Linked DNA regions of Drosophila melanogaster. The protein of the gene in region 1 purifies or fractionates together with the protein of each later gene. This does not show direct contact. Each region holds a gene or a part of one and is shown on either strand. Other genes may lie near its edges.

Evidence for each region. Proteins that work in one complex are often made in the same cells at the same time.
Region 2: the proteins of Psc (region 1) and ph-d purify together in Drosophila melanogaster (affinity purification with western blotting; 7 studies listed by BioGRID, with this or other methods). This does not show direct contact.

What each region holds. Positions count from the first base shown.
Region 1 is NT_033778.4:12,976,171-12,982,550, forward strand, and holds the start of Psc (posterior sex combs), read right to left. Parts: upstream 4,825-6,380; 5' UTR 3,878-4,824; intron 2,052-3,877; 5' UTR 1,994-2,051; coding exon 1,147-1,993; intron 1-1,146. UniProt on the Drosophila melanogaster protein: Polycomb group (PcG) protein. PcG proteins act by forming multiprotein complexes, which are required to maintain the transcriptionally repressive state of homeotic genes throughout development.
Region 2 is NC_004354.4:2,114,688-2,124,173, forward strand, and holds ph-d (polyhomeotic distal), read right to left. Parts: upstream 7,106-9,486; 5' UTR 7,038-7,105; coding exon 7,000-7,037; intron 6,938-6,999; coding exon 5,376-6,937; intron 5,315-5,375; coding exon 4,864-5,314; intron 4,805-4,863; coding exon 2,994-4,804; intron 2,931-2,993; coding exon 2,179-2,930; 3' UTR 1,040-2,178; downstream 1-1,039.

The DNA of each region.
Region 1 (6,380 bases):
TTAATATCCGAACGGAATGGAGAACCGAACGGCTGTTGATGAATGGCCACATTCGCTAGTTTTATGGCGTTTAGTCCCCCGCCTGAATGCTAATGTTGTGTTAATATCTGTGTCGTTGATAATGCATCCGGGATTTTTACCAGTGGTGCGAGGAGCAGGGATCATCTCTCGCCCGCCACCTCGAACAGTTTCTCAATCAATCGAGCTAAGTACTTTCGAGGCCGGGACCATTAATGTGCCCACAAACTTATCGCCCGGCAACATCTGCGTGTCGTCTGTGTTCCTGCTCCGAAGCGCCCAACCCTCTTGCTGCTACTGCTGCTACTCCTCCTCCTGCTCCCTTCTGCTGCCACAACATAGAGCTACTGCTCCTCGCCCTGGCTAAATTCTCCGCCCTCCGAAGTAAACATAACTCATCGCGTCTAGGCAATTTTGCAGAACATCTAGACATTTGAGTATGGGTATTGGAAATGGAATTTGGCGGGGATGGTGCCCTTAGTCGGCAGTTGGCATAATAATTAAGCCACAGCGATTACTAGCTGCAACTTTTCCCAATCCCTGGACATTGGCCGAAGGATTTATGGGATAAAATCTAAATACCCAAAATTCTAATTACTCTGAGATACAAATATACCGAACCTAATCGCATTACATATTCTTGTAGCTCTCGTTTTTAATATCTTGATGAAAAAAGTTTCTATCTAAATTTATGTAAACTTGTTGGAGAACTTTGAAAATTTTCTCTCAACGGAAAGTAATTATTTCGCTTTGGATGGTAACCATTTAAAGTGAATCCAAACGAATTTAACCATTTAGGAATTTCTTCTTTTAACTTAAACTTACTCCCACATTGATTAATTTGTAATGGTTTTCATCAAGCAAAATCGGACAAGTTTTCAAAAGTTCTTTTGTACAAGCTCTTAAAGTTTCCGTTTGAAACTGCTCAAGTGTAAGTAAAGTGTAAAGCCAAGAATAGCGCATTCATTCATTCCATTAACAGGGTAGTTTGAATTAGAACCATTAGGAGTTCAAAAAATCTGTATCTGTATCTGTATCTCCTGGCCACTCAAAGGTTATTGACTTGTGCAAGTCCGCATCGCAAATAGAATACAATTTGATGAAGTTCATCGGCGGAAGGATACTTACAGGAGTGCAGACACTCGACGATGGTGGTGGCATTGATCAGATATCCCTGGCACAGGTGACAGATGATGTGCGGATTGACGGCCGTTAGAAGGACGGGGCGTGGCCTTGAAGTTGTGGCCAAATCGGAAGTCGTTGTCGCCGTTGAAGACGCAGCCACAGCTGCCGTTGGGTCCTCCTCCGACTTCTCCTCGTCGGCGGAGGCGCCACCATTGCTGCTGGCGTCCTCTGAAGTGGCTCTCCTTGTCGTCGGCCACGAGGACGATGATGATGAGGAGGACGAGGAGGAGGATGACGATGAGGAGGAGGCCTCAACGGATTCGACAGCCGGAGGCGTGGATTCCTTCTTTATGCCGTTTTCTAATATTGTTTTTGCTGCTTTGCCGGTGGCAAGTGCTGGTGTTGCTGTTGTTGTTGTGGTTGTTGCTGCTGCTAATGCTGCATTCGCAGTAGTTGCTAATGTGTTTTCACTTTTTACTTTAATGCTGCAGGCAGCGAAAAGTTGCTGCTTCAGTTGCTGTTGCTTTTGCATTTTATCAGCATTAGTTGTTGCCTCTGCTGCTGCTGCTGCTGTTGTTGTTGTCGTCGTCGTTGGTGGTGTTGTTGTTGTTGTTGTTTTCTGAGACTGAGACAAAGCCAGCTTTTTGCTCGAATTGTTGCCACTGCTATTTGCATTGCTGACAACGCTTTTGGCCGCCTTATTCGTTGCCGTTGTCGTTGTTGTTTTCGCCAACGTTGACAACTGCGACTTTTGTTGTGTGTGAGCCATTGTTGTTGTTGCTGTTGCTTCTGCTGTTTGCTTTGTTGTTGCTGCTGCCGGCTGTATTGCTTTCGATTCTGGCGTCATCATAGTAATAATACACTCTCGCCGCTAAAAATTCGCTTTTGTTTTTCGCACAAGCGTCAATCTGCAAAATAGATAATGCCAGAAGTTAAAATTAAATGCGAATAAAGGAGCGCATGGAAAATGTGAAATGGAAAATGTAAATCGACTCGAGAAGAGAGCGTGCTGAAGATTATAAATAAATCAGACGCTGAGCCGCAGAAAGCAATAAGCCGAAGCTATATCGGTATAGCCTCGTTGGTGCGCGAAGAAGCTTAAAGCTCCACTCGCCCCTCGCTGTTTACGATAGAATAATGGAGGCAAGGGAAATATACACTTTCTGGGAAAACTGGTAGAGTTAATGAACTCGGTGGGATCGTATTTTTCCTCACTGCAATCTTCTCTTTTGCATCATTCTTCGTGAATCAGTTTTAATATAGTTGAAATGGTGATAAAGTTTCTACAGTGATCGTCATAAGAGATCTGTTCAGAAAATATTTTAATGATGTTGCCAAGTACGCTGACTCAATATAAATGATCAAAGACAAGAACTTATTAAGTAAAATAAACAAATATGTTGTTGCATGAACATCGAAACTTAAAGATCATTTCAATTTTTAGAGTTTAGTGAATATGCTTTGACTTTAATTTGTTAGAGAACGCTTTAGCTCAAAGAAATCAAAATGCATTTAACTCAGACATGATGTCCCAAATTAAAGCTTGTGGGACTTGAGCAGTAGACAGAAAGGAGTCGCAATCTGGCAGCTATTATTTGCAATCAGTCGATGGATGTGGGGGCCCTCGATAATGGATGTTGTAGTTGCCATGGGAATGCCTACGTCGAATATATTGAAATGCACAGCACTTTTGGGATCAAAAGAGGGGGGAGCAGAGTTGCACAGGGGTGCTTTGTTTTATTATGGATGGAAGGGTGGAGGGGGGAGAGTGAAGAGTGCCGAGTGGAGTTTTAACCAGATGCCAAGTACATCGAAAGTGGGGGGCGGATCTGTGGGGGCGTCGAACAAAATGTGTATTTCAAACAACTTCAAGTTGTTTTTGCATCAACGCGCCAGTAAAAAGTCAAGGTACATACGGTAAACTTTTCGGAAAAACTTTTTCAACTCCGGGGGCACACAGAATATGGAAAATTATATTTGTGTACAGAAAATATGGCAATGGAATATGAATGACTGTATATGGGAGAGGGCGAAAAGAAATTGCCAGCAGGCCTCTTTAAATCCTTTTTACATCACTTTTAAGTGCTGTGCGAAAAGAGGAACCCTTCTGTTGGCCCTTTCCCTTCTTATTTTACCGAACCCATTCCATTGCCGTGTTTAAAGTCTCAGGGATTCTCGCGCGCGCAAAAAAATGTGAGTGAGTACCAACATGAAAAGGATAATAAAAAAAAAAGCAGCGGAATTTCTTATTTGTGTGTGGTGTGCGTGTGTTTATATGCTCGCGTATGTTTGTGTGTGTGTGTGTGGGTAGGGATGCGAAGGGATGTTGAAAGAAGGGAAACGCGAGACTGTGACAGGGAACAGAAAAAACAACAACCCAGCGAAAATTCGGAGAATGCAGAACCGAGACTGCGGCTTTATCTCCTCTTTCACAAGCACGCACACACACACACTCGCATATTGCTTTCATTCAAAGAAACAAGTACATAAACATAAAACAAAAAACGTTGCTAAATGAAAGAGCAGTAAAAAAAAATCAGTCACACACGCTCATATTCTCATGCTCCCCTTTTTCAATTGCCGTGTGTCCAATCGAAATTCTTACTTGCTGGGACAAAAGGAGAAAGAAAGAGAGGGGGTCATCAAGAGAAAACAGAAGAGGGGCTGTGGTTGGTGGGGGGAGAGCGCAACAGCTGCCGGTCGAGAGCAGTGTTGATTAACGCCAATCATGTACCTTTGTATCCAATCTTTAATCCACTAATAATCCAGCCAGTTAATTGGCATCGCGGTGGTCGCCTTGTATACATAAATAATCCAATGGCAAGAGGAATAATCCAAGTAAATAATCCACACTTGAGTTTTGAGTCAGCGTTTCTGCTTCTCTTTCTTCACTATGCTCCACTTCACTTTTATTTTATTTTATTTTCTTTCTACTTCTTCACTTCGCCTGCACATTCAAACCACACCAACACGCGCTGGCACTTTCGGCTGCTCTGCTTTCGCGGGCACCTTTATTGTGTATTATGCTTTGCTCTATGTTTTCTGCCCCACACACACACAAGCGCGCGCGACGTACATAAGCCAGCAGACGTAGTTGTGTTGTGCTTCTGTTGTTGCTGCTACGGCATTTGTCACACAAAGGAAATTGGCTTCAGATTGCTTTTTTATTATTATTATTATTATGCAACTGAAGCTTTGAGCTCTGGTTGTAATATAAACACATGTTTCTTGTTTCGTTATTTATAGTGGTCGCTTCACTCTGTTTGGATAGCGATAAAGCAGGAGTATCGAAACAACCGACCGCACACGTCCGTTCGCTTTGAGAGTTTTTGTTCGACTAACGACCACGCTGCTTTTCGTTTATGTACTGCTGCGTTGCCCGCTATTTACTCTCTCTCGCATACACACACTTATATACCAGGCCAAAGACAGGTAGCCAACTGCTCTGGGCGAGTATCTTTGTTTTCTTTTTCGTCGCTCGCACACTGATCGTCCGTCTCGCTCTCGCCGGCCTCTCACTGGGCAACAAGTCAGCTATCTCTCTTGCACGCGCACTCGGCTCTTTTGTTGTTCTCGTTGCGGGGCGTCGTCGCTCTGGCTCGGTCTCTCTCGTTCGCTCTGTAATCTTTCCGCACAGCGTCGACGAACCGCTCTCGTTGAATGTTGGTGTTGCACTAAAACAGGCGCTCTTCGCTGACTCTGTTTTTCGGTCGCCACATCGTCGGTCGCTGCCGCTGCCTGCGTCGACGCCGACATTGACGTCGGCGTTTGGCTCTTTTCTTTTGCTTTGCCAGCCGTTTCTTTGTTCGTTTCTGTATGTACAAGCGGAAAATTGAAGAGGGAGGGGGATAGAGAACAAAGGGCTGCACATAAATGGCAGAGGTTTTACAACTCTTACGGGCTCTTATCCATCTGCAAACACTTCGGAATACATAAGACCATGTGCAATCAAGGTAGAATGAGTGCCTATGTAATCGCAACTTGCAATTTCCGTCAGCAGAAATCGCATATTTGCACGTAGGCGTACGTCTATATCTGCACCCCTCTCGCTCCCACGCTATTTAATGCCTCCAAATTGGAAATGCTTTTTGCTTCTTTTCCCTTGCCTTTTCCTTTTTTCCCCCACAGAAGTGGCAGCAACAGCAACAACCACAATGTGAGCGCGAAAGAGCTCTCCAATCAGTGGCAGCCAACAACAATAAAAGCAGCAACTTCGTTTCCGTCTTGGCGAATTAACCGTTAGACTGCTCTACGTAACGTAACAATGCAGATCTAACGGATAAATTGCGAACGAAGGAACCGTACCATGACGATACTTTCCATGCAAATTAACACCATTATTATCATTGCCGTGGGAGTTAAGAGTTTATTTTGCATATTTTTATTTATAATGATCCTATCCTCTAAATAGTAGCGTACTCACCCAATACTATTCTGAAGTCTTCGAAGTTCGCAGATCAAAAAGTCTAAAGATTTTTTCTTTCAGTTTTATTGCAGGGAAAACTTCTTTTTAAAATTTTTTAATTTCTTATTCATTTTCCATTCTATTATAATACTTTTATTGATTGGTTTGCCCACAGTAAAATCGGAGATGTCAGGAGGTTTTAAATTAATATATTTCTTATTATATTTCTTATTCTTATATTTCAACCATTTCTTAAACTAGCCTTAATAAATTACAAAATGTTTTTAAAGTTTCATCCCAAACAATAATAAAGATTGATTTTTATTCTCATAGAAGAAATACAGTAGTAATCTTAGAGTATATTAAAACTGTAAAAATATTAAAATTTTATATTTAAAAGTTTGATAAGTACACAATTGTAAAAGTACCCTTCAAGCCAAACAACTAAAATTATCATTGAATACATAACATTTAAATGTTATTATATTTTTCAATCAACAAATATTTTTGTTTTGTCTTAGTTTGTTTCCAACTTTTTTTTAAGTTCATGTTACTATAAAATTGTTTACCGATCGGACCTTATGTCGAAAGCTTGCATTTTATTGAAAATGTGCTTTTTGGTCTATTTTTAGCCTTTTGTATGAATCGTCTAGACAAAATATGCACTCAAGAATTGTCTTTGCGTGAACTTTTACGGAATCATAATAGAATTGCATTCTGTTATCATATCTTTCACAATAGTGATGGTCAAAAAACCCCAATGAATTTTAATTTAAGTGGTGTTTTAGGCAGGGATTTGTTTTTTTTTTGTAATCACTCCAGTAAACACTTT
Region 2 (9,486 bases), on another chromosome or scaffold:
ACCTCGAAACCCCAGCAACCTCGGACCTCAACCGATTTCCTCGTGCCCTCGACCCGAATCCAACCCAACGTCCCCTCCTCCAGTACGTCTATAAGCTAACCACGCGATCCAACCTCAACCCGTGTTCATAATCCGATGAGAAGTTGTGCGATTTTTAGTGAAACCTCGGTGCGGTTTCGATGTTGCAAGAATTAAAACCAAATAGAGACGACGTTTTCTTTGTTCAAATGTTGCCAATTTGCAAAATACAAGTGTTAAACTACCATATAGTATATGGAGTATGAATAATATATATTTAGATGCGAAATACAGCTCAGTACTCAGCTCAGAAGCATTTTCATTGAGCCCAAAACGAGACGGCGAGGCAAACGTTTATGTATCGGTATACAAGAAGCAGCTGAGAGGTAGTTCTCCTGCCATATAAAATATTAATCGACCCAAAAACATTAGAAATCCGTGTAGAATACTGCGATTTGATTGAAACTATAGATAACAATCGAGAACAAAATGGTAAACGAGCCCACGACGAAACGCGATTGACGCAATAAACAAAGTTTTCGTAGCTCTAGATCGTAAGATAAACAAATTAATGAAACGCAACAAAACGATCGCGAAATCGAGACAAAAGGCAACACCAAATAAATTGTAAACAAAACCAAAGTCGTTGTAATGTTGAAGCAAATCTATATGTAAATCAATCTGCAAGCGCTAACTAAACGTAACAAACATAAAAATTAAACACAGCCACAAAATATTATTATGAAATTAAATTGAAACCTTAAGATGCATAGCTGTTCGAAACATTATACCGATAACAATATTGAAGATATATTCTACATTTTTATGTGTCTGCATATTTGAAAGAAAAATATATATAATTGAATAAACCATATTTCAAATAACCTTTCGGAAAATTACCATGTGTTTTTAGAATGAGTGACTACTACCCACATATTTGTTTCAATATCCACATATTTGGCAAGAAGGTACGAAATGAACAATTCCAATAAAACTCGATCACGACATTATATTCACTTCCATTAATCACTTTACAGTTTTATTTACTTCAGCAGTAGGAAAAAAAGGTTTCGTAAAACTAAAAAAAAAATTAAACTCCGACCACTGATTTGATCTATAAAAGTTGGACAGCGTTTTCGGAACCTTGCAATAAAGGCAAAAATTCTTCAGACGTTACTCATTACGACCTAAGTTTATCAATAAATTAAAGGTTTAGTTGGATTCAATTCAGTTTCACTTAGGAATTACTTCAGGCTTAAGTTTTAATTCTAACTACGTAAATATAATCCCAGATTACCTCTAGTTCAAATGATTTTTTCATGTTCTTTGCATAGGGTGTTGTGAAATGATTAACAACGTTCAAATAAATACGTTAGTGATTATGAGTAATTGTGAACTTCTATACAAAGTGATGAATTGATGACTGGGATGGCAGTCTATGCTCTATCATACATGTGGCGTCCTGTCATTTGAGCTACGATATTACCCCTCTTGCTATGTTTAGATTACGTACAAAAGGATTGAAAGTCCGCTTCAAGTGAATCAAATTCAGCTTGGGTGGCAGACCCGGTTGGACCCGGTCCACAGGTAGGCAAAGGTCCATGCAAAGGTCGTGGGAGATCAGCATGGTCAAATAGAAGCTCAGGATACTGCCCGCTCCTATCCTCAGACTCTGGTAGACTGCTGAAGACTGTTGATCCAACGGCGGTGGCGCCAGCGGTCCTATAACCTCCCCGTCCTTTTCGTCGCACAGAGTCATGGACTCTACTATTGCCACAATCTTGGGGTCTGATCGGGGTGCTTAAACTAGCTGCAGCTTCGGCGCCGAAGGAGGGTCATATTCCTTGCTTTCGTCATGTGCGGGAAAAACAACTACATCACCTAATTATGGATTTCTCGCATAGATTCTGGATGGGATGGGCCTCGCAACAGAGTCAGTGATTCCAGGCACCGGTTGCTCTCTGGGGAGTTCCCTTTGTAGATTAGGTGCATGTAGCTGATGATTAGGGTGTACGTGCTGTGAGAAGTGGTGAGTCGGAACGTGATTCACTTTGTTCTGTCTGATCACATTCGCTCACGAAGTAAATGTCGTTACATTTAGGTGAAACGCGGGAAACTAAAGAAAGCGGTCTTTTGAAACCTTGACTTTGTTGCGTGTTTTTAATCCTTTACATCGCCTGGCGGGACCTCCTTAATGGACTCCACCTTGGCCACAATTTTGAGAGCTGGACCCAGCTTCATGCCCATGGCGTTAACCAAATGGTTTTCTTTGAGCAGCAGCAGCGCTTGGCCGTCGATCTCCTGCTGTATAAAGTCGTCCACGTAGTCCTGGCAACCAGGCAGTTCTCGGATGAAATTGCTAACTTCTTCCACACTCCAACTGCTGATGGGAGGGCGATCGGATCCATTTATATTCGAGGATGGTATTGCTAGGACCGGCGCAACCACTCCAGCTGAAACCACTGGCAGTGACACAGTGGGAGCTATTGCAATTGGCAAGGGCAATGTCAGGGGCAACGAAAGTGGTGAAGATGTCGACATAGCCGCCAGCACTGGCATCGAAATCGGTGGGACCTCCGGCGTAGCCGCTTGAATTGGCAAAGCGTCCGATACTGTCTGGTATGATTCTGTCTGCATCTTCTCCTCAGCCATGGCTTCATCCAGTCTGTCCACCAATGCCATTGCGTCCACCCCAACTATACCACCTGTCCCCAGGCCGTTCGTCTCTCCTGATCCAACTCCACCGATGCCGTTCTTTGCCTGCCTCGAGCATCCTGGCGAACAGTAGCGCTTCCGTTTCAGCTTTGCTTTGTGCTCCATCTTTCCACACTGCTCGCAAGCAACCATATCCGAGCCTGGAGCTGATGCTATTCCACTTAGCTTGATGTCCTCCTGCATGGTTGCCTTTTTCTCTGCGCGAAGGAATGACACGTTAAGATTGCGAAAAAGCATTGGTACCAGAAGTTTATACTCACTTGGCGGCTCATCGCTGACGTCTTTGTCTGCATATCGCTGTCTGGTGACGGGAAATGGCTCGTTGGCCTCCTGGATGATGAAGCCATCGATGACGTGAGTTAAGACGTTCGGCTTAATCATCGCCTTGGGGAGATCCTTCGATCCATTACTGATACTCGACGTGGTGGTTGTGGTTGTGCTGGTGCAACTTGTGGTAAAGGTGCCAGAACTGGTAGTGGTTGTGCTAGCGGTTGAGACAGCCGTGCTGGCTGTCGTTCTGGCTACTCCAATCCCATTGGTGATCGTTGTCGTGGTTGATGTTGATGTTGCGGACGTTAAACTGCCGCAGGTTGTCAGCTTCGGCTCTTCTTTCCCACTGACACTGTTGGGAATGGTGCTACTCGGTGGCTGCACTGCTGCATTGCTTTGCTTGCTGGTGGGAGTGGTAGCGCCCTTTGACGGCGTGGAAGACCTATCTGAGGCATCTCCATTGGACAGGGCTTCGCCTGTGGAACTACTGGCCTCTACGGATGCGCTAACAGTGGCAGGAGTAGATGATTTGGGGGTAGTGCAGGTGTCCTTTCCTGATACAGGAGTCTTGGGCGAATCAATGGGCACCAGGGTTGCGGTGGGCCCTTTTGAAGGTGTCTCTTTGGTGGGCGTGGCTGGAAAGCCTGCTCCTCCACCGCTACTAGCACTGCTTAGTGTGACCAGCTGTCCAGACGATGGAGTGACAGCGGTGCTAGAAACACTAACGGGTGGGGCAGTGGATAGGTGACCCACGGTGGCATTCATCATCGAGGTCATGGCCAGAATGGGATTTGTTGTAGGTGAGGGCGTGGTGGGTGTAAGTGAAGGTAGTCCCAGTTGCTGCTGCTGCTGCTGCTGTTGAGACCCTCCGGCAATAGTGGCGCTGATTAGCTGCTGATGTTGATGGATCTGAGTACCTTGCGTCTGAGCCTGCTGCATACTGGCCACCGTACTGCTGGTGACCAGAGGAGTGCTGCTCTGGCTGGTAATTGTGACCACACTGCTTGTGGGGAGCGTAGAGGAACTGCAAGTAATCGGTTTGGTTGTCTGAAAGATGGCGCCAGACACCGAGAGAGCTTCTTGTAGGGCACTGGATGTTATTCCGGCAATATCTTCCGCCGTCATCGATGGTGAAACCGAAAACGGCACGCTGCTAAGCTGCAACTGTCCAGACTGCTGTTGCGGTTGCTGCTGCTGCTGTTGAGAAGTCGCTCCAGTTGACTGTTGCACCACAATCTGCTGGATAATATTCTGCTGCTGCTCTCGCTGCTGTTGTTGCTGTTGCGCTTGAGCCTGCACTTGGGCTTGAACTTGTGCCTGCGCCTGTTGCTGTAGCTGCTGCTGTATCAGTTGGTTGTGAAGTTGCTGCTGCTGCTGTTGCTGGTGGGACGTGATGAATTGATTTGGCGCCACCTGAAGGATTTGCTGAGTGGCATTCGCGAGAGCCTGTTGATGCTGCGCCTGGGCTTGGGCAACTTGCTGCTGTTGCTCCCTCTGCTGTTGCTGAGCCTGCGCGACTGCCTGTTGTTGTTGCGCCACCGCTTGCTGTTGCTGGGCGTTAACCTGCTGCTGCTGAGAGACCTGTTGCTGCTGTTGTTGCTGGGCCTGAACAGCCGCTTGCTGCTGCTGCATTTGAATGGCAGCAATTTGCTGTTGCAACATTTGTTGTTGAAGGATGTGCTGTTTCTGAAACAGTTGTAGCTGCTGTTGCTGCTTGTCGACTCCTGCCGCAGTGGCTGCATGAAGGGTCTGTCCATTCTGCAGGGTGATCGGAGTGCCCGTTGTGCTCATCACAACCATTCTGGAAAGATGCAAAAATAAGTACTGTGACAAGGCAGATAATAAACAAACAATACTCACTTGTTGCCCGCCGCATTAACCACCTGCTGGAGATTCGTCGCCTGTTGCTGCTGCTGCACGGTGGTCAGGTGGCCTACTACCTTATTTTGTCCTGCGACTTGACCGATTTCGGTTTTCAATGTGGCTAAAGCGGGGCGCACCGGCTGCTGCTTGTTGCGCATTTTGGCCTTCAGCAGGCTCTGGTTCTGGGCAGTCTGTGTGGATACGGAACTGGCCGGACGCACTTGAGTTCCATTGTGGGGCATGACAGGGGCTCCTGGTCGCTGCAGAGCGGCTGCAGTGAGTTGCTGCTGCTGTTGCTGCAACTGGGCAGTAGCCACCGCTAGTTGCTGCTGCTGCGTCTGGTTGGTAGTGCCAACCTGCTGCTGCTGCTGTTGCTGCTTGGGAGCAAGTGCATCCAGTTGAGTGCGTGCCTTAGTGGGCGTCTGCGTCACGTTGCATTGAATAATCTCTGTAGGAAGATAGTTGACTTTAGTACCTATCCGATGCAATATACATGACAATATTCTTACGGTTTTGCTGGGTCTGCAAAGTCTGCGTCGCCGGTTGCTGTTGAATGAACATGCCTTGGGTTCCGTCTGGCTGGTTTCGCAGGATGATCTGATTGGAGCCGAAGGGTTGCAGGCCCGCCGCATTCTGCCAGAACCAAGGGATCTGCATTTGTTGCGCTTGGCCAGCGTTCAAAAGTTGGGCAGTCTGAACAGACTGTCCACCCACACCGACTGGCAAAGTCGACTGTGAAACCTGCACGCACTGCTGAGTGGTTTGGGTGGTCTGCTGCTGCTGTTGCTGAACCTGCTGCACCTGCTGGGTCTGTGTTGACCCAGTAGATCCAGGACCCGTCGCCGCCTGCACCGTGCTGCTGGTGGTGGTCACCTTCTGAACCACTTTCTGGGCCAGCTTGCCCTGCGCATCCACTCCCACCTTGGCCAGAGCGGCAGTCAGCTGTTGCTGTTGCTGCTGCTGGTTGAGCTGCTGTTGCTGCTGGTTAAGCTGTTGCTGCTGCTGTTGGGTAAGTTGCTGTTGTTGAGCTGCGGCGGCCATTGATTGCAGAAGGTTTTGCTGCTGCTGTGGCGAGTGGGAGATGACATTCACCGGCGAGATGAGCACCGTCTGAGGCGACTGATTGTGGTTCGAAGGAATGCAGGTCGCGTAATTTCCGCCAGCGAATCCCGCTTGGCCACCGATCATTTGCTTGGCGTTTTGAGTCGTGGTGGTAAGCATCTGGGGGCCGTTGCCTTGGAATGGCTTGCCGGCGGTGATCACCTGGATTGGCTGCTGACCGAGGCCTCCTGGATGCAACAGATTTCCCGACACAATCATTTGGGGATACAGGAAACTGGTGGAGGGTTGCATTAGCTGCACCGTCCTTCCCTGTGTCCAATCCCCGCCAACTCCTCCAGTGGCCGCTGCCAATTGCATCGGCGACATGGTGCTGATGGCTGTGGAGTGCTGCTGTTGCTGGCTTTGCTGCGAGTTGGCCGGACTAGCTGCTCCTCCGGCTCCGGCCGAGGCTGCTCCTCCACCGTTGGCTTCCGACAGCTGCTGCTGCAGCTGCAACTGCTGCTGAACTTCCATAATGTTGGTTGCATGCTTTAGTTCAGTTCCACTGCCACTGGTCGTGTGCGTGGGAAACTCTTGCTTCACCTGAATGGCGTAGGGATTGTTTGCATATAACTGCTGCAGCTGCTCGGGGGAGATCTGCAGCGGCACATTGGTGGCGGCCGCCACCTGTTGAGCTGGACTCTGTGACTTCTCCAGTTTGCGGCCGGTTGTCTTTGAGTCGGGTGCGCTTGGCGATCTGCTGCTGAGCGGTAGTAGTGGGTGGCGCCGTCTGATTGATGGCGTTCCGACTGACCCACGTGCTGCCTTAGAGCTGGGCGATTGGGATGGACTCTTGGCAAAGTCCTCGTCGAAGCTGATGCCTGCCTTCTGGGCGAGTGTTTCCAGGCACCTTAGTGGCCGCTGGGGGTCCACGCGAGTGGTGGAGTTGACCTTTACAGATGTGGTGGCTTCCGGGGAAGGTGGTGGTGTACGTATTGTTGTTGCTGATTCACTTTCGGTGTCCCCACTGCTGGAAAGAGAAAGAGGAAACGCACACAGACTATCAGTAAATTGCTTTAAACACAAACAAACACGGACACACTTGGCGCGGCTCCGAATCCGTGGGGCATGCTTCATATTCATGTTTAAATTTATATTTATATTCTTATTCATATTCTCTTAGCGCTTGACGAACAAACCGCACAACAACAAACTGCGACTGCATGTTACTCCCGCCAAAGACTCTCTCTCTTGCTCTCCAACGCGAAAAGGGGGACGAGGAACAGAAAAAGAAAGAAGGGGGTGCGACAGGGACGCACTACCATTGAGAAAGACAAAGACGGGATCGATCTGGGTCCAAAAACGCCAAAGAAAACGAAAACGAAAACAAAGTCGGGACGAAAATGTGAGAAGGGAACGAGAGATACACTTTGTTTTGGATGATCGTTCACTCACGAGGTAATTTACTTACAGTGGATACTGTTTAGGTGAGACGTGGTAAGCTTAAACACCAACATATTATATGGGAAATTACAAATGATTGCAGCTACAACTTTGTACAACACTAGCCCCACCGTGTATTCAGTACTTTTTACGGAACAGGTAAATAAATATTTTAATTTGTTCATGATTCGTGACCCACTAAAAGTGCACTGTTTTTCATATGTGCATGCACACCAACACCTAAAGCAGGTCACTTGTCAGCGTTGCCTGTGCCCGAAACATCTATTTATAGTAGGATTGCTCTCTGCTGCATATTCCCCTTCTCCATCACCTCCTCCCATCTACTACGCAGAGAGGAAGTTCGAGTGGGTGTAAGGGAGACCACTTTTATTTACGGATGGCCCTTGGGCGATGGTTATAAGCCATCATGGTGATATCCAAGGGGACAGGTTCAAAGACCTAAGCTGGGCGCTCAAAATGCTGTCGCCAGTTGTCCAGGAGTAAGAAATGGCCGCGGCTCAGAGGAGCGGAAGGAGCAACCGGCGCCACCAATAATAGTTAGGAGTTTCAGTTACATTTGGTGTGTATCGGGGGTGGATTTTGGCTTCCATTTCCATCGGCAGGCTAAGAGCGGAACGGATTTGGAAGGGGGGTAATAAACCTAGGCACAGCAGCATCTTCAACTTGCAACCGAAAGACTGGTTTCTTTCTACCGCGCCACGATATGTGCATGTGTGTGTGTGCATGTGCGTGTGGCGGCATACAATAATGCCATCATTATTTGATTTTTCCCTTAGCCAAAAATTGAGTTGCAAGAGGCAGAAACAGAGGAAGAGGAGAAGGAGAAAACGAAGAGGCAGGGAGCAATGACAACAATGCGGCGCAAACAACAGGCAAAGAGCATGCGCCGACGACAGCGTCTCATCAGAAAAAATATGTTTTACCGTTTTCATTTTTGCTTTCCTTGCTGTACTGTATTATTGTATATTTGGAGGCACCTGTACATGCCTAACATTCAAAACGACGCAACTTTAGACGCCGCACAGCATTAATTGTTTTCACTAATCACTTATAGTCAGCACCGATTTGCATTGATCGCCAAAAATAAATATATAAATAAATACTACGAAACGGTGGTAGGGTGTGTGTGCGTCGCGTCGGCGCTTTTTTTTTCCCCCGTTCAATACACATGCGGTATGCGACACATCGACACCACACCAACACGAACGCAAAGAGAGCAGAGCGCAAGAACCGCACGCCGCCAAGTTAAGTTTCAAACTGAACCGCGCGCTACAGCGACAACTCTACTTTTGCTCGGATCGGAAACAAAATGAGCGCATGTGTGCTGAATGTGTGTGTGTGTGTGTTGGTGTGCAGCTGGATCCGCTTCTCTCCTCTCAGATACCGTTGCGACTAATAACTTTTCTCTATACCGAAATGCACGGGTGCGAGTGCGACGCCACTAGGAGTGGCCCTGGTCAGATAGCGCGTGCGAGCGGGATGCCGTGCGTTCGCTTGGGGTTGGAATGAAACGGCAGCAGTTGACAAAGCAAAACCAAAACGAGTAAAAAAAACAGGAATCAAGACTACAGCTGGCGGGCATGTGTATGCGTGCTCAACCACCCCGACTGTGCGCCCCCTTCCACTGTGAAAACAAAATAAAATACCCGAGACCGAATCCAGTTTTCTGTGTCTGTACACTCGAATGTCTACCGCCCGACTCAAATTCGATTGCTGCTATACTTCATCTTCTTTTTTTCGTTCCTTCACAACCACCACTACTTGGCAACCTCTAGCGCCTTTCTCCCTTGCTCTTACTTTATACAACTTACTTTATTATTGGTTGTGCTTGTCGGAAACAGACGAACGAAGCGTTTGCGAAGGGAAGGGGTAGCGTATGCGCAGAGACAGAGTGATATGTTCCCACAGTGGCACTCGATCTATTGTTATTGGAATGCATTATTGTTGTACTTTGGCAACCAAAGGCACACTGGAGCAATCTTATAGAGCAGCAACGTAAAACTTAGGATTTACATAGCTGTGTAGAACAGAAATATCTTTGTATGTACATAACTGTCGACTTGGGTTATGCCAGTAAAACAAAAAAGTAATGGTGTAAAATAATTATTATTATTA